Linked DNA regions of Coturnix japonica. The protein of the gene in region 3 purifies or fractionates together with the protein of the main gene of each other region. This does not show direct contact. Links are inferred from orthologs where the notes say so. Each region holds a gene or a part of one and is shown on either strand. Other genes may lie near its edges.

Region 1 (5,906 bases), on a different chromosome or scaffold from region 3:
CACGGCCTTTTCTTACTTGTACGGCAGATTCATAGCCAGGTGGAACAAACTCCAGAAAATATTGCAGCATATGGCAAAAAGCATCTTTCAGCTTTTCAGAACGAAGACATGTAAACATATCCCCTTCAAACAGTGCACAAAGCTTCTCTAGTAGCATACTCAAATACACAGGTTCAATATTTTTGTAAGAATCTGCTTCAAAAGGCATCAGTGTTTTCACCAATTGTAAAAATGGTTCTCCACAGAGTTCCAGTTCTTCAGTATCCATTTCAAGTGCTGAATGTAGAATTCCAAAAAAGACTGTGAAGAAAACACTGGCCAGCTGTTCCGGAGGTCCTCCCAAATGAATTAATCTTAATAAAAACTTCATTGCCAAAGCTTTAACTTTTGGACAACCATACTCCAACAGGGAGCAACCTATTCCCCAGAGAACAGTATCCTGTCTTACAAAATATACATCTGCAACAATATCCATCAGGACAGACAACAACAAAACTTCCAGGCATTCTACATTGGGCATACCCATCAGGTGTAATGGTGCTAATCTTAAATATCCCACATTGTCACTAGCATTGCTTGAAAATCTCTTTACAGACACTGGCCATACCAGCACATCTCCCCAGAGTTGTTTTCTTGTGTCTCTTTCATGCAGGAAGATTAAATCTTGGAAAAGTTGTAGCAAGTCTTTTGTTAATATTTCAAAGATGGAGCAATTTTTCATTTTAAACAGAAAAAGTAAAGAGCAAATGACATCAGAGATGTTCTTGTGCAGTGTGATACAGTTTGGAGTCGCAGCAATCCGGAGAAGTCTTGTTATGATCCAATTGCTAAATTCTAGGGCAATAAAAAGAAACAGTACACAGAAAATTATTAAGATGAAAGCCAAAGCCTCTTAATAAAAGAGTACCTCCTTGAGAGCAAAGTTGCTCATCGCAAAATAAATAAACACAGTGGTGAAATAAAGGAATCTAAGCTTAGCAAGCATAAAGCATTTCTTCAATATGAGACCTTGCTGATAAAGGGGCAAGAAAAAAAAAAGAAGATGAATTATATAAATACAACGTCAAGCTCACCAATGCAATTGGATTCTGTTTCCTCTTGACTTCCATCGACATTTACAAACATAAGGGGGGAAGATTTCATGATATGTTGAATAAAATCCAGCAGCATTACAGAACTTGGCTGTGAATCTGATTTCTTAACGAGTTCCAAAGCAACTTAAAACAAACAAACAAAATAATTCTGAATTAATATTACAATGAAATCAACTTCCATAATTTTGGCCGTATCTAAAACAAGGAAATCATAAATTTTCTGTATGTAATATTATGATACAGTATCAAACTTGTATAGCAAGAAGTTCTAAGTATGCCTTATTATTCAATGAAAAAGATTTTAAGGTTATTTTAAATCCTGTACAGGAAGCCAAAAAGTATGAGGAAAAATATAAAATTATTCTGCACATTATCTGCTGACACTATAACCATTAATTCAGTACTATATCTAGTTCTTATTGAAAGATAGCAGAAAGATAGCATTTTAATTTTCAATTGGTTCTCCCTAGATCTATGACCTAGGACACGAATTAAGCATTGTTTACAAAGCTGCAAGTGATAGTTCAATTGTAAGCTTTCAGAATCAAAGAATCTGAAGTGCTGCTATACTATATCTCTTAAAACAGATAACTGAATCACTTCAGTTACCCAGTTTTCACACAATTACACAAAGAGCACAAGGAGAAAACTATCTGAAATTTAGATAGGAATTAAGGAAAAGCTACATAGTAAAGATAAAATACTTGCATGCACAAAAGCAATACCTAAAATAGTCTGGATTTTCATTTTTATTCTCTCTCAGGAACAGAAAAGAATTAACAAATATCTGAACAGTAACATAACAGTACTTAAAATGATCACTTCACTAGATGAAATACATCTTAGGGGGATGGCTACATGAAAACATCCCTCAGAAACAGTGTATAATAAATATTTCTGTATATATGTAATATTATAAAATACAATTTAATATAGATATTAAAGATTACTTTACAATGAGTCTCCCTACAGTAAATGTACAAATAATTCTAAGTGCCAGACTTCTGGAGCCTATATTTCACAATTAATCAAGATACTGTTAAACTACTGCAATAATTAGAACCTTAACTTGATTACTGATGACTGATTACCACCCTAAAATTAAAAATCAAGGTTTTTACATCAAAGTGTTGCAATTCTTGAAGGCCTCGTGAATATTAAGATTTACAAGCTACATCACTCAATGAGCAATCACTTCAGATAAAAAGAATTCTGAGTGTTCATATTCACTTTATTTTTTACAATTATAAATTTGTAGTTTATAATGTATATTATTTATAGTAATAATATAGATTTGTCTTATTTCATAGCAAGTACTTAAACAAGGAAGTTATTAAGAAATGAAGATATAAACATTACTGCATTCGAGTGCTAATCTCTGTTGAAATGAGTTGTAACTTGGGTCTGTGTTGAATTACTTAAAACATACATTGGATTACCATTTGAGATACCAGACATGCAATACTCACCCACATCTACATCTGTCAGGATTCTGTCAATGAACTGGCAGAGTATTTGTCTTGGTTTCTGAACAACTGCATTGTATTCTTCCGGACTAGCACTAAAATTAAAAGCATGATATTTTACCTGTTTTAAAATACAGAATAATTCATGTCCATCTCAACAACACACCATTAAACTCCAAGATGGTTCATTTTTTTCAAGAAGTTTCCAAAAAAGAAATGCCACTGTTTTTCTTGTTTTAGTGACCAGTGTATTTCAAGCTCTTCTCTTCCCTACTTTTCCTAGGTAGAAAGCTGTATGAAATGCTGAAAGCCATTTACTTTTGTTATGCAATTATGTTTGACATACTTTACACACAATTCTGATCTATTAAGGTCACACACTACATCAAAGCAAAACAGATTTAGTGTAGAAAAATAAAATTAAAAGCCTGTTTTGCTTTTGGAATTAACAAATTATTCAGCAGACCAACAACAGGTATACAGGGTAAGAGGTGCCAGCAGCACCTCAGGTGACTGAGATGTAAGTACCTTCATTAGGTCAAAATGTCACAGTATATTCACATCTCCATGTCACCTAGTTGTCTAGCACTGAACAAAGCTGCAGTCCTGATGGTGCCATTAAAACTCCAGAGACAAACATTAATTCTCTCTACACAGATGGAGGAGATACAGAACCTGGGTGTCAAAAGCTCCTATATTGCTTTCACCTTAACCTAGAGCAGCCTCAGTCAGCTGAGCCAGACAACAGCAATTTCCCATCTGTGAGAACGTGTGTAGTACATGACTGCAGTACCTCGAAGCCTCAAGTACATACATTCATTCCATCTTATACAATGCAGATTGCAGAGCAGGGACCACGAATAGCTCCAGAGAAGCCACATTGGTAGGATGCCTAGCACACTGCTGAGTAACTTGCATGCCCATCAAGCACTATAATCAATCTATCTTTCCTAGAAACTGAACAACAGTGAACCAAAGTAGCGACTTGCAAATGTTCTACCAATACACCACAGACCAATTTTGCTTAGTGCACTGCCTTACGAAGCAAGGAATGCAAGCTTCGGCTCTTCCCCTCTCCCCCCCTTGGTATCTGTGCTGCTTCCCAGTCAGCAAAGCCCCGCTGTGAGCAGCACGGGATGTTGGACCCCGACAAACCCCATCTCTGGATTATAGAGTTTGATTCCGCAGGTCATCGCCGCTGCCCCCAGGCACGGCCCGGGATGGAGCAGTGCCCCATGCAGGCAGCGGGGCGAAGACACCACAGGAGGAAGACGCGGGTTCAGCCCCAGAGCCCTCACAGAGGTGGGGAAGAGCCCTACCCGCCCCAGAACCGGGCCTATCCCCGGAGCTCCCCGCCGGGCTGAGCCTACCTAGCGAGCTCCCGCAGCGCCGGGATCATGGAGGCCATCTCCAGGCCCTGCTCGGCCATGGCTGCGGCTTTCAACCGCGCCGCCGAGGCGGGAACTGCGGGACCCGCGGGACGGCGGCCGGCAGGGCCCAAACAACCTCCGACAAACTTCCCCGCGCCACCCCGCGGCTCTGCCGCGTTTAACCGCTTCGTCCCCAGGCTGCGCCCCGCCACCACAAGGGCTCGACCAGGCTGCCCGCGGCACCGCCACCCTCAATGCACGGATCCCTGCGGCACAGCCCACCGCAATCTGCCACAACGCGGCACCAGCCCCACACCCCGCATCCCTCAGGCGGGAGGTGCCCGGCAGGCCCCGCCCCTCGCCGCTCCATTGGCCGCCCTGGGCAGCAGGTGGTTTGTGCTGCGGGAGCCGGAGCTGTCGGTGAGTAGCGGCTCGTTCGTCTGGTGCGTAGGAGCGGCTGCCGGTCCGGTACTTATCATCGCTCCGGTACTCATCGCTCCTGACGACAGCGGCGGGGGGTGCGTGTAAGATGCTGTTATCTTTTATTTCCAGCGTTCGTTACTCTCTCTATACGGCCCTTTGAGAGCGGTTCGGTATTTGGGTTTGCGAGCCCCCGCTGTGTTCTGTGGGGCTGCGAGGAGGGCGGCCCGAGAGGACTCGGGATGAGCCCCGTCCTTCCCTGCGGGCTGTTCCCGTCCGCCGTGTGTGTGTCAGCCCAGCACTTCGATGCTTTGGGGCTGAAATTAAATCCTCTCAGAGGGTTCTGGTTCTGCTGCCAGTTTGCACTGGGACGTGGCCGAATCTTGCGTGTGAAAGGGCTTGGGAAACTGTCTGTGTGTGTCGTGGTTGTGTTTCTTTACTGATGGGTGTCTTTAGGGCACCTGTTGCTGATGAACTTTCTCTTCAATAAGTAGTTTTTAACCTGAAAAACACACGTTAGCTATTTCATAAAACTAGTCTGATGATGCTTCTAAGGCAGCTAACAAAAGGAGGATCTGTTTGGAGTGCTTTAAGAAACTTAACAGAATGTATTTGAGTTTTATCTTTGTTTTCTAATGAATATTTCCAACAAGTATTTTTGTCTTCATAAACTTCTGAGAGCTTTCTGGGGGCAGTTGGTGGCCAGGAAGCAAATGCTCCACAGCTGTGTGTGCTCTGGTAAAGGAGCTGTGGTGGCTCAGGAGGACCCGGCATGTCTGGGTTTTAGTGCTGGTTTTATTTAGAACCCAGTGTTTCCTATTCAGTTTAAATAAGAAGCCTTGTGTTGTTACCCTGAAAGTAGCTTTCTGATTAGCAGCTTCTAAGTTTGAGACAGCGGTGGTGTGAAGAAAGGTGTGACCGCTTCTTAAGGTGCAGTGCTTCTTAATTTGCCAAATTAAATCCCATTGATACCATAGCTGATAAGCTTGAGGAGGATAGTAAGGTGCCTGTTAGGTTTGTAGAGGAACCTGAGCAGGGTATGTTTCTTCAGATTTAAATCCAAAGAGACAATATGATACGCTTATTAAACTATATAGGTACATTTCTCTGTTTGTAAAGCATAATTTGGGTATGTGCGGTGCTTAATGGGAAAACTAAAAGTACATTTGTCTTCAAGTGTTCCAGGTTGTCAGTGAGATCTTACTAATAAAGGTACTGTGACAGCATTTCCATTTGTCATAGGTAGAATGCTGTATAAATTCATGGTGCAGTTTCTTTAAGCACTTACCAAAGTGGTAATTCAGGCTTCTTTCTTCCCAGTCGCAGTAAGTACTCAACAATTCCCTACAGAGAAATCTGTTTCTCATCTGTCATTGGAGTGGGTCTGAGAGGTTTTGCTGGTTCCCTGTTGCAAAGCTCCATCGGCTGCTTCCTGACAAATATTGTCAAGTTTCTCCTGACTGACTTGTTGTGTGCACTAGAGAGTCTTATAGGACCCACTGTGTTGTGCTGTAAAGATGTAAGAAGTCTTCTGGGTGCACCCCATGAGATACTCT
Region 2 (5,906 bases), on a different chromosome or scaffold from region 3:
CTGAAAGCCATAGTGTGCAGCTCTTGTGGAAAGCCACTCACACAGCTGATAAGCAGGGAGGAACAAGCTTCCTCCAGTAGGTCCTGTGCTAAGGAGAAAATAGGAACCAGCTCTTTACGAGCAGACCAGCACAGTGCAGCAAACAGGGCTCCCATCCATTGACTGCTCCAACAATCCTATGTCCTGCCTCTTAGCAATGCTAAACACTCACCACAGAAACCACACTCGGTCTATGGAGAACAGCTGGGCTCCTCACAGGGTCGTTAAGTGATTCTGAATATTTACGAAGCTCACAAACTGCTGCGGTTGTCGATTCCCAGCAGGCAGCTTTCAGTTCTGCATTTTCTACTACAGGAAATCAAGTGAGAACAGACACAGTGCAGGAGCCATCTTCAGGATGCTGCCTCTGTGAGCAAAGCAAGGCCAGGTAGAGAAAGAGGAAACAAAACTCATCACCTCCTCCCTGCTGCATCACCAATATCCACAATGCTCTGTCCTTTATTCCTATTGGCAGCGATGATCCTGACTCCAGGTGGATCCCAGATACAACCTGCAGCTTCTTTCATTAGAATCATTCACGTCTTCATATCCAGCTGTTCGTTCTTATCCATTCGACCCCTTGAAACAACTCATTTCAAAAGCTTAAGCAAATATTAAGTACAGACAACCCAATCCTGTGACGGCACAGGCTGTTTGTACCCACACAGCTGAGTTCTAATGGCAAATGCTTTCCTTCTTTAGCAAGGAGCAAAAGCCTCCAGAGCCACAGAAGCTTAAGACCACCCTAGTTTACATTTTAATGAAAATAGTATTCAAAAGCCATAGTAACAAGACCACCTCGTAGTACAAATATAGATTTAAGTGCACAAACTAATTATAAATCCAGTCATGATTACTGTACATTAACAGAACGTTTCTCTTGGCTACATTGTCCTTGAATTTCGGGGTGTGGGGAATCACTGAATAAGTGGGACTTGCACATGTTAGAAAGCAAACATCACCTTCCAAGTTGCAAAGCTCAGCAGGTTAATTCGAGACACCGAGAAGCACTTGGCTGGGAGCAAATCCAGGTGGAAAGAGCTTCAGTCAGCATCCGTAGACTTATAGTGATCATCATCCACAGTAGAGTAGATGTGTCCCTCGCTGCTAAGGAATTCAACTGCTTGCCTTGGAAGGAAAGAAGTCCATTAGTACCTGGCTCACATCAATGCCTTCCTCTCAACCATTTCCCACCTACGTGGGACCTGACGCCCCCAAAAACATCAGCTTCTACACACTTACTTGATTGTTGGTATGCTGACATTGTGGAGCTGAAGTTTCAGCTCTTGGAGACTCATCCCGTCTGGAGAATGGCAGTTTTTAATCAGGTTCAGCACCTGGAAGAACGTGAACCATCATCAGCACACAGCTCAGCTCTATCAGCACTGAACAGCGGGGCCAAAAAAGGATTATCAGCCTTCCAAGAATAACTGAGCTTTTATTTCTTGGTCCTACAACACAAAGCAGCAGCACCCACTGTGTCAGCTGTGCTCTGGAGAAGGTGCTGGCACCCACCTGACTCTGATGTGCTGTGAGTCCATTGACAGGCAGGCTGCCTCCACCATAGGCCCCCACGTCACTCATTCCAACAGAGGTAAACGACTGAGGTGCTCTTGATGCTGACTGCAATTACAAGAGTAATTGAATAAAAGAACTGTTGTGCACAGGCTGCTGCAAACCCAAGGCATGAAGGACATGAAGGACTTAGCCTTCTTTCAGAGGCATAATAATTAAAGATAGATTTCCAACAGAAACCAAGTAAAACTGGCCGCAATGAGAATGTCTCTCAATGGAAATCAAGACTCTCATCACACCCCATTGCAGCCCTTCAGCCTTTCCAGACCCACAACTTGCACAGTTTCCCACTGAACCCAGAGGTCCCTCCCTTTAGATCACCAGTAACAGCTGTAATGGAACCATGACCTTCAACTACACACCATAAGGTTCTTCCTGAGGATCATATGCGCATTAACAGTCTCAAGTATGTGCGTGGTGACCTCGTTCATGTTTTCCAGAGGCATGATCTTAAACGCCACCAAACTCTTCTTGTTCTTCCAGAGAAAAGACAGCAAATACCATTAACAGGGGAGCAACAGGAACATGGTTGCCATAGAACTTAAGCACTCTAGTTAGGAACAGGAGCAGCAGCGGGTGGGGAGTCCATCTGCCTTTAGTTAGCAAAGGTTTTCAACTTAAATGCCCATGTCTGGGCAAGTTTTGATCCAGCTGGCAATTGCTCTTTGCTTTAACACATACAGCATGATCTCAAGGATGACTGCTATGAGTTGACTCCTATATAACATGCTGTGATTATTGTTCCTGCTCTGCCACATCACCAACCCTTTATGCTGCTGCCCCAGCCTTGTTTGTTGTGGAGTCGCACATGACCTTACCTGAAAAGACCGAAGATGACCAGCAACTTTGACGTAAGTTCCTGGGGGCACCACGATATTCTCACTACCTGCCTCCTTACAGAGAAAGGAGAAAGCAAAGAGCTGCTGATCCATCTCTCAGTTATCATACTAAACAACTTTAGGACTGCTATCTCAATCAAACACAAACGACACCCATTCAATCAGTACAAGCAGTCAGGTAAATGTAGCTACAGATGGGAAATCCTTATTTGGATGCACTGTCGGCTTGACAGCAATCAGTGCCAGCTGTGCATTCTGGGAGCAGTCACAGGATCTTATGGCAAACCTGTAGATAAACCAACTGAGAATCTCTTTAATTACTTCCAGTTGTTCAGCTCAGTGCAGCTGTTCATCTCCAGCCACATTCACTGCCAACTGATCACTGTTACCGCAGCACCCAGCCTGGCTCTAACAGGGACATCCATTGATGCAGCTCACACACTGTTTTACCCCCATAGCAGCACCTCAGGACGGTTCCATTGCTTACATCGGTGTCAACCCACTGCCTCACGTCCATGGGTGCCGCTGTCATGTCATCCACCTTGTACAGGATGTTGGTGGGCGCCTTCTCTGCGTGTCGAACGATGCCCACCACGGTGACCTGCGGGGGGAGGGCGGTCAGGGGGCGGGGTGAGACACCAGCGGCCCATCAGAACCAGCTTAATGGGAGAGGGGTGTGGGGTTATAGGGGGTGTGGGACTATACGGGGGTGTGGGACTATAGGGGGTGCCCACCTGCGAGATCTCCACGTCATGGATACGGAACGCCTCGTCCACCTGCTCGGCTGCCAGCAGCTGCGACACGGTGCAGGGCACGATGCTCTGCGAGCGGCTGCGCTGTGGGGGGGGGTGAAGGGGGACGTGATGGGCCCCACAGCCCCACAGCCCGGGCCCCACAGCCCGGCCCCCACAGCCCCACAGCCCGGCCCCACAGCCCCACAACCCAGCCCCACAGCCCCATAGCCCAGCCCCATAGCCCAGCCCCATAACCAGCCCCATAGCCCAGCCCCATAGCCCAGCCCTACCTGCTTCTTCTCGGCCTGCCCGCCCGCTGGTGAACTGAATCCTCCCGGTGACTGCGTGTATCCCCCCGCGGGGCCGTAACCGCCATCGAAGTTACCTGTGAAGGGATGATCGGAGCCGTGAGCTGCGCAGACCCATCTCACACCCCACACCCCACATCCCCCCACACCCGCCCGTCCCGCACCGTGTCCGCCCCACATGGCGCCTCAGCACCGACTGCGGAGCCACCCGCTCCTCCAGCACCGCGTCCCGCGCCCCGCTACCAGGAGCCAATCACAGCCCTCCGTCTTCCGCCAGCTTCCGATAGCGAGATCCAATCACCTCTCTCTTTCTTCCAGCGCTAAGATCCAATCACATCCCTCCTTCTTCCGGCGGTGCTGATGCCGACGCCGCCATGTTGGTTGCTGGCGCTGCCCGGCTCTGTGCCCCGACGGGGCGGGCCGTGCAGGTGAAGGTTCAATGATGGAGGCGGTGACGGTGCGGGCGGCCGCGCTGCTGGTGCTGCTGCAGCCGGCGGTGATGGCGGGGACATTCTGGCACCTGACGGACCTACACTGGGATCCCGGTTACGAGGAGGCGCTGTCGGCCGGGCAGCGCTGCCCGTCGGGGGGATCCGGACCGGGGGGACCGTGGGGCAGCTACGAATGTGATGCGCCCTGGGCGCTGCTCAGCTCCGCTGTGAGCGCCATGAAACGGCTGCGGGCACGGCCGGACTTTGTGCTATGGACGGGGTGAGGAAACAGCACCGATTGTATTGAGTCCCTGCGGGCTGAGTCCCAAAGTGATGGCCCCTATCTATTGCTATGGGCTGTAGCTGTGTTAAATGCCCCCTATCCATTGCCGTGGGCTTTAGATGTATTAAATGCCTCCTGTCTGTTACATGGACTCAGCTTTAGCTGTGTTAAATGCCCCCTATCTATTACTATGGGCTGTAGCTGTGTTAAATGCCTTCTATCTATTGCTGTGGGCTTTAGCTGTGTTAAATGCCCCCTATCCATTGCCATAGGCTTTAGCTGCATTAAATGCCTCCTATCTATTACCATGGACTCAGCTTTAGCTGTATTAAATGCCCCCTATCTATTGCTATGGGCTGTAGCTGTGTCAAATGCCTCCTGTCTATTACCATAGACTCAGCTTTAGCTGTGTTAAATGCCCCCTATCTATTGCCGTGGGCTTTAGCTGTTAAATGCCTCCTGTCTATTGCCATGGGCTGTAGCCATGTTAAATCCTCACCTTACTTGGAGCATTCATTGGGTTCCTTTTCAATTCTGTTTCATTCTATTGAACGCAGGCAGCTTTTGCTTCCCTGCTGTTATCCAGTTCTGACCCCAGGTTGCATTATATTCTCTTGCGTGATGCCCCACTCAGCTGTAGCATCTATTAAACACGTTGGAATGGGATAAATGTGCTGAAATGGGATAAACCTGCTTCTAGTGCCCACATATAAAGTAGAACCAAACGGAGCAGCTTTCCACTTGGAGCCATTTCCTCCTGCTTCTCTGCTTCAGCCCATGTGCACAGTGCAAGTTCCTACCCCAAAGACCTTGACTTTATCTCCTATGAGATAAGGAAGAAAACAAGGCTCAGGTGCACGTTCAGTGCCTTGCTCTGCCCACGTGCCTTGATAGTCACAAGTAACGTCTATGTTCTATCTGCTGTTCCAGGGATGATACTCCTCATGTCCCTGATGAGCAGCTCGGAGAAGAGAAGGTTCTGCACATCATCGCAAACCTGACCTCGCTGATCAAACAGGTATTTCCAGGTAGGATGGGAGGGGATGGGAAGGGGAGAGAAGTGCAGGTTTGGATGGGAAGGTTTAATCTGTGTGGAGCAATGAGAGAACTGGGGAAGGCCCAGAAAAGGTCTTGACTTATTTGTCCTCTTCTCAGCTGTTGTGTGGGTTGAGGTGTGTCTGAATTGAGGTGTGTGACACACTGTTGTTAACACACTCAGGAGGGAGGAAAATAAATGTTTCTCTTATTGCTCATTTAGGTAGAATACTGCACAAGTTCTATTGAATCCATCTTAGCAGTGAGGGGAGAAGTGTTACAACAGTGAGAGCTCATTGACTGCTCTGTAAAGACGTATCTGGGGGGTGTTTTGCCCTGAGGAGCCCCATGGCATCCATAGGGAGGGGTCTTTGCAGTGTTATATCCGCACTCAGTGTGGCTGCACTGTGGGTGATACACCTTTATAATGCTGTTGAACCAGCTGTTCATTCTGAGTCATTGGAGACTCTGATGATGAGGAACCATGAACCAACTACAGACATCTCCCTTCTGCTTTTTCTCTGTTCTTAGATACTAAAGTCTTCGCAGCAATGGGAAATCACGACTTCCACCCCAAGAATCAGTTTCCAGGGAAGGAGAACAGGATCTACAACCAAACAGCAGAACTGTGGCGTTCATGGTTGAATGAAGCTTCAATTCCT
Region 3 (5,906 bases):
GTGGGCAAGGCAAAACTCTGACTTACCTTGTACAACAAAACTTTGTCCTAGCTCGCACTTTTACTACTCCAGGTGTGCAGGGAATGGCATCGTCACCAATCCATGTCCCTAGAAGGGAGCCTTCATTACAGGCTGCTTTTTCATCCTGGATGATTAGATTTATAATGCTTAGCAACTTGATTTCAGATAAAGATTTGACTAAACACACACCTTCCATTAGTTAAAGTTACTAAACCAATTAAATAGGGTCAAATCTATTGAAAGCTAAGGATAGGAACTAAACCAATACAAGCTAATCAAGAATACTCCAACAATGTCAACTGACAGTTGTATCAGTTTAATTGTATCAGTTTAAAGCAGGAAGTTCAATTAAAACAATTGAATTTTAGTTTGGTGCTCAAATCTAACACTATATTCACATCCCCAATAGGGTTTAGGAATAATCAGCAATATTCACACTACAAGCTGTGATTTAGTTTATTTACTTTAGTGCACAGGTAAGGAGCTACTTGAGATACCCTTATCTTTATGCACTTACAGCAGCATTAACAGATCAGTGAATTTGAAACATCATATTTTTGCATGGCCCCTGGAAAAATAAATCTGACTTCTTCCATTACAACTCTTACGTTGAAGGAGCATTAAAACAGAAATAAAATATGTTTAGAAACTGAATGAGCTTGTTTTACAGCTTCAACATTCAGGCTGGGCTCTTAATTCCTAAATCTAAGAGATACACGACTGCAGCAGTACAGTGAGTACAGGGCTAGAGCCAAACACTGAATGCAAGAAATTACTGCATGTAAGCCAACAAAGGTAAGTTGAACTTCACTGACTACCGGGGTAGTTCTGAGTATGTTTTATTTTTCAAGATAAAAGAACACAAGCAATAGATATTAGCAAACCCAGTATGATGCTATTTATAGTCATTATAGGACTATAATCATTTAAAAGGAAGTGACATCCCTTATCGGTGATTTTCTAATTCTGCTTTCTCACAAATATTCAATACAGCAAATACATTTAAATGGCTCTGTCAAATAAGTTGGCATTTTTGGCAAGCCACATTCTACAGACTGTGTTAGGAGTGACAAGTTCTCTTCTTACATCTAGTAAAATGCAAACAATAAGACTCCTATTAAAAGACTATGTTGTTTTCATTTTGCAGGCTGTAGATGTCAGTTTCAGAGCCAGAAAGAGATGTCAAGAGTGTGGACCTTAGGGTAAGAAATGCAAATTACTGAGAATAATGATGCAGCTTTACTGTGTTTATATCCTTGTGCAGTCTCTCTTAGATATCTGAGTCAGATGTTGCCAAGTAAATCCAGTATGTGAAAAAATTATACCTTTTAATGTACAAGTGATTAAGGATAAGTAAACCACAATAAATCTCCTAAGATCAGGGGCAATAAGCTGCATTCTGCAAGTAGAAATTCCTAAATGCAGCTGCAACTAGTCCACTTTCTTCATACATCTTGTTTTTTTAAGAGTCAAATGTTGAGCTTATGATTATAGTTCAACCCAGTTTTATAAGCATGTTTCTAGTTATCTGCATACTTGCTTCTTGCCATGTATGTTAGACTACTGTAACTAAAAGAGAGCTTTCAGTAAAACTGAATAATGTAGCACTGTTCTGTTTCAGCACTGCACATACAGAACATTGTTTTAGAAAGTAACCATTACCTGAGGAGCAATCCTATTAACAATTTCTGAAATCTCTACTGCACATCTACTGGTGGGCTGTTTGGTTTTTCCTTTGCCTAAGAAAATAATAATTAAAAAAACTTTAAAAAATGGCAAAACGTTACAATTTATAAAATTCATTATTGCTCAAATTACACTCGATGAAGTCAGAACTTGATATAACACTATGATGAGGAATTTATGGGATTTTAATAAAAGTAAAATCAAACCGATCACCTCCGGACTCACCAGGTACTGTCATGATAAACAAGAAGGGGCATTTTTCCAATAAATGTAGTGACTTTTGTGACAGAATCATTTGAGTCGGAAGGGATCTTAAAGGGTCATGTAGTCCAACCCCCTGCAATAAACAGGGAAATCAACAGCACCATCAGGTGCTCAGAGTCCAGTCCAGCCTTAGCTTGAATGTCTCCAGGGATGGGGCAGCCTCCACTCTTACTGTAAAAACCTTCCTTATGTCCAGTCTGAATCACCCACATGTTAGTCTGAAACTATTTCCCCTTGTTCTATCACAAGAGACCCTGCTGAAGAATCTGCCCCCTTCTTCTAATACACTGCAATTGCATTCCCTTGGCGGGCCCCCTGAAGTCTGAATTTTGTTAATATTACCTAGTCCATGTGCAATTGGTGAATGAGGATCCCAAAAGATTTCTTGCTGTATATCAGTGTCATTAACCGGTGAGCTGAAGGTTGGTATTCTGGATTTCCTACTCAGTGATCTCTTTGGAGTTTTGTGTAAACATGGCTCTGTGTAAACAGAAAGGTGATCCTTATTAAACAACAGCAAACACAAAGGTGAACAAACTCAGAATCTAGGAATCTGAGGAACTCAGAACCAGGGTGAGGCACAGAGAAGATGCTTTAGGAAGAATCAAAACAAAGCTCACTGTCATCGAGGTTCTTTATACACAGGATAGGTTCTTTCCACTGCAGTTAATGCAGGACAAGGTGGTGACATCACACAGAGATGACAGCATGCCGACAGCTGGATGCCCAGCATCTAACATTAAGTATGAGGACTGCCTGTCTTCTTACCAGACGGAATATACTAACTTCAGTGTGTTAATGAAACCCTACACAGATCCACAGGGGAGAATGTTTTGTGCTCTGCCTCGCTCTGTGTCTCACACTCAGACTGGTCTGGATTAAAACTCCCACAGGCCCCTCAAAGGCTGTGGGCCACAACTCCCTGCACTGCGCCTCTCCAGGTGGGGCTGATAACAAGGACACAGCTGCGCACAACAGCTCCCAGCCGTCTCAGCTGCTCGCTCTGCCTTTCAAGCACGGAACCGCCGCGTGAGCCTGCATAAGTTCTAGGATATGCCATTCCTAACGCGAGGAGCGCCCAGTGAGCCGCTTTACGCTGCCGGGCCTCTCCTCAGGGGTCTGTTCTCCTCAGGGAGCTGCTCGCCGGGCACCTGCAGCCCCTTCCCCGCGCACCCGGGCGGGCAGAGCGGGGTCCGCTCCCGCCGTACCTGCCGCACCGCGCACCGCCGCCTCCCGACACGGCGACGGCCCGGGCGCCACCCTCACGAGCGGGCCGCGGCCCACACCGCCCTCCGCGCCGCCGCCGGCCGCCTCTTCCTCCGCGGGGCACTCCGCTGGCCGCCACCGCCGGCCGACCCTGTCCTCGGCGCCGCTCCGCCCCCGCGGGGCCGTGAGCCTGCGGCAGGGCTCCCTCCGCCGGCTACCGGGCATGGCAAGCGCTACGGAAGCACCGCGTCCACACCGACGCCGCCATTTTGCCGGGGAGCCCGCCGGGATAACGCCGATTGGCCGCCGCCGCACCCGGCCGGGCCGCCATTGGCCCCGCAGCGAGAGGGCGGGTCGACGGGCGAGGCTGGGAAGTGCGGCGGGACGCCGCGATGGGCTGAGCTCGGCCCCGGGCCCGCCTCGTGCGCGGCGGGTGCTGCCATCCTGCCTCGTGCTTCCCGGCTCTGTGCACACTCTGCACCTCGAGAGGGAACGGCCCAGAGCCAGGCAGCAGTGAGTTCAGCCCTGCGAGGAAACTGGGGCTGCCAAACAGGCTGCCAGAAACCAGATTTGGTTGGTAAGGAATGAACGTGAGGTTCCCCAGGGGCTGTGATGTTACATCGCTATTTAGAAATGCAAGCACGTGTATGTATTATATCATAAGGTGGATGTTTCCTCCAGAGCCCGTTGAATGTAAATGTATAAACATATCCACTAAGCATATAGGTCAGGGAGGGAACTGCTTTGTATTACTTGCCTGCCTCTTTTTTGTTTTACCCATTTGGAGCGCTTTGGGCTCACACTTCATTTATAAGCAATGGGTTCTGGTCAGCAGTATGAGGAGTTTTAAAGTCACAAAACACCAGCTCCCTGCAATGGGAAACCTCTTTCCACCCGAGGCCTCAGGCAAACAATATGGTTTTTTTCTCTTCTTTGTCCTTGTGGGCGTAATTAATGCCAGTGGAAGACTTCTTAACAAGGAAAAAATGAAGTAGTATGTATTAAACCGAGGTGTTACACGCAGAGCTAAACTATCACAGTTAATCACAGAAAGGAAGTTTTGACTTCTTAGTAATCATGTTGTACCCATCAGATGTAAATCAGAGGCCAGGCTGAAAAAGGAGATGTAAAATTAGGCTTCAAAATCCATTGCTGGATGTGAATGTGATTACTGCCTTTTACTCATACCAGCATGATAGAGCCTTGCATAGGTATGAAGTATGGTAATGGTATGCATAGCATGTTTCATCACTGGTTGGCAATATGGTAATTAAAAGCTGTGATATACAACACTGGTACAGAGTTGGCTTACCTGGCACATATGTCGTAATGGTGCACCTTAAATTACTTGGCTCTGTTGTTTTCAGGTAGAATGGATGCTGAGAGGAGACCAAAATCTGCACCATACAGAAAAGTTCAACAGGTACGTGATGCCATAAAAGCTGCTTTCTTAGTGTGTATTTATTTCATTGCAGCTTAAGAACTTAGCTTGGAGCTGATGCTATTTATTGAGTTAAGAAATCTAGAGGTGGAAGCCTGTGATGTTGAAGGGTTTCTCTGCAGAGCTGTAGCCTCAAGGAGGAGGGAGTTTACACTCCCTTGTCATGGCACGAGCGGCTGGATCAATGGCTAATTGTGAGCAGGCTGTGTTCCAGGAACTTGCTGCAAACTCCTGGTGCTGCAGTTGTGAGTCCTACTTTCACATCGAGAGGGATGAATAATGGAGGAGAGGGAATGAATAATAAAGTTACTTCTGTTCTCAATAGTTCTGTCAAGTGCCTGAGAACTTTTTTTACTGTGTTTTATGAAGGAAGTTCTGCAAAGGAATGAAATACATGTGGAAGATATGAGAAATTCCGCAAGAAATACTGATCAGTGTAATTAGAATACTGTAAATAAGAGTGAAAAAACGCTTCTCTCTAAAATCCTTTGAGCACAGAGCTTTAAAGCGAGCAATTTTTCTGTGCTGGGAAAAGCATACAGCATTAGTGAGATCTTACAAAGTGTGTCATTCTTTGAGTTCATGTAAGTAGCAGAGAAAAGTGACTTTCTTATGGTTCAGCGCTCGTGTATTCTAGAAATGGGGGGAAAAAAGAAAGGAAATAATTATAGTGATTTCAGTGAAAATACCAAATTTGTCAGAAAATAGAAGCTATTCTGAGTAATTAATTCAATTTGACAAATAGTGTCTTTTTTTTTCAAGGATGTTTTTAAGTGCCTTGTGACGTTTTCAAAGTGAACTATCTTTATTACTTCTCCAGTCTATCTTTCCACGTCTTTTTTTCTTTATATCTATATAAAGAAATATATGTGTGTGTGTGTGTGTGCAATTTGAGCACTTGAAACCAGGTGACAACAAAAGTTTTTGAGCCATCTGTTCCTTGGGCAGGTTGCTTTAAAAAGTGGGTAAAGAACTTGCAACTCAGTACAGATACATAGCATTTTAAACATCAAGTGTTTTCTCCTAGGGAAGGAACAGTTAGAGGTTATGTGGTGTTCCTAAGGATAAATAGGTCACAGTCTCTCCTCTGCTTCTGTAGTTAGACTTCTGGCAAGGCAGGTATCAAGGAAAGCCACAGGCTTTCTAACCTGTCAGCATGTCTGTTTCTTTGGTTGCGTACAAAATATAAAAGCAAATGTCTACCAAAGGCAGAGGTGTCTGAGTTTATAGCATGACTTCACTCGGTCTGCAGTTCTGCAGACATCTTCAACAAATTTCAGTGGTCCTG

Evidence for each region.
Region 1: the proteins of ETAA1 (region 3) and ATR purify together in Homo sapiens (affinity purification with western blotting; 3 studies listed by BioGRID, with this or other methods). This does not show direct contact. The link is inferred for Coturnix japonica from reciprocal best matches to the Homo sapiens genes ETAA1 and ATR.
Region 2: the proteins of ETAA1 (region 3) and RPA2 purify together in Homo sapiens (affinity purification with western blotting; 4 studies listed by BioGRID, with this or other methods). This does not show direct contact. The link is inferred for Coturnix japonica from reciprocal best matches to the Homo sapiens genes ETAA1 and RPA2.

The regions. Positions count from the first base shown.
Region 1 is NC_029524.1:8,881,768-8,887,673, forward strand, and holds the start of ATR (serine/threonine-protein kinase ATR), read right to left. Parts: upstream 4,242-5,906; 5' UTR 3,990-4,241; coding exon 3,931-3,989; intron 2,656-3,930; coding exon 2,564-2,655; intron 1,218-2,563; coding exon 1,074-1,217; intron 835-1,073; coding exon 1-834. UniProt on the Homo sapiens protein: Serine/threonine protein kinase which activates checkpoint signaling upon genotoxic stresses such as ionizing radiation (IR), ultraviolet light (UV), or DNA replication stalling, thereby acting as a DNA damage sensor.
Region 2 is NC_029538.1:1,358,354-1,364,259, forward strand, and holds RPA2 (replication protein A 32 kDa subunit), read right to left. Parts: upstream 3,788-5,906; 5' UTR 3,676-3,787; coding exon 3,660-3,675; intron 3,573-3,659; coding exon 3,478-3,572; intron 3,290-3,477; coding exon 3,188-3,289; intron 3,055-3,187; coding exon 2,941-3,054; intron 2,508-2,940; coding exon 2,433-2,507; intron 2,091-2,432; coding exon 1,977-2,090; intron 1,663-1,976; coding exon 1,555-1,662; intron 1,377-1,554; coding exon 1,282-1,376; intron 1,168-1,281; coding exon 1,083-1,167; 3' UTR 774-1,082; downstream 1-773. Other genes in the region: SMPDL3B (acid sphingomyelinase-like phosphodiesterase 3b), read left to right, coding at 3,935-4,206, 5,140-5,237, 5,776-5,906. UniProt on the Homo sapiens protein: As part of the heterotrimeric replication protein A complex (RPA/RP-A), binds and stabilizes single-stranded DNA intermediates that form during DNA replication or upon DNA stress.
Region 3 is NC_029518.1:640,624-646,529, forward strand, and holds the start of ETAA1 (ewing's tumor-associated antigen 1), read right to left. Parts: upstream 3,475-5,906; 5' UTR 3,403-3,474; coding exon 3,180-3,402; intron 2,452-3,179; coding exon 2,314-2,451; intron 1,761-2,313; coding exon 1,684-1,760; intron 146-1,683; coding exon 27-145; intron 1-26. UniProt on the Homo sapiens protein: Replication stress response protein that accumulates at DNA damage sites and promotes replication fork progression and integrity.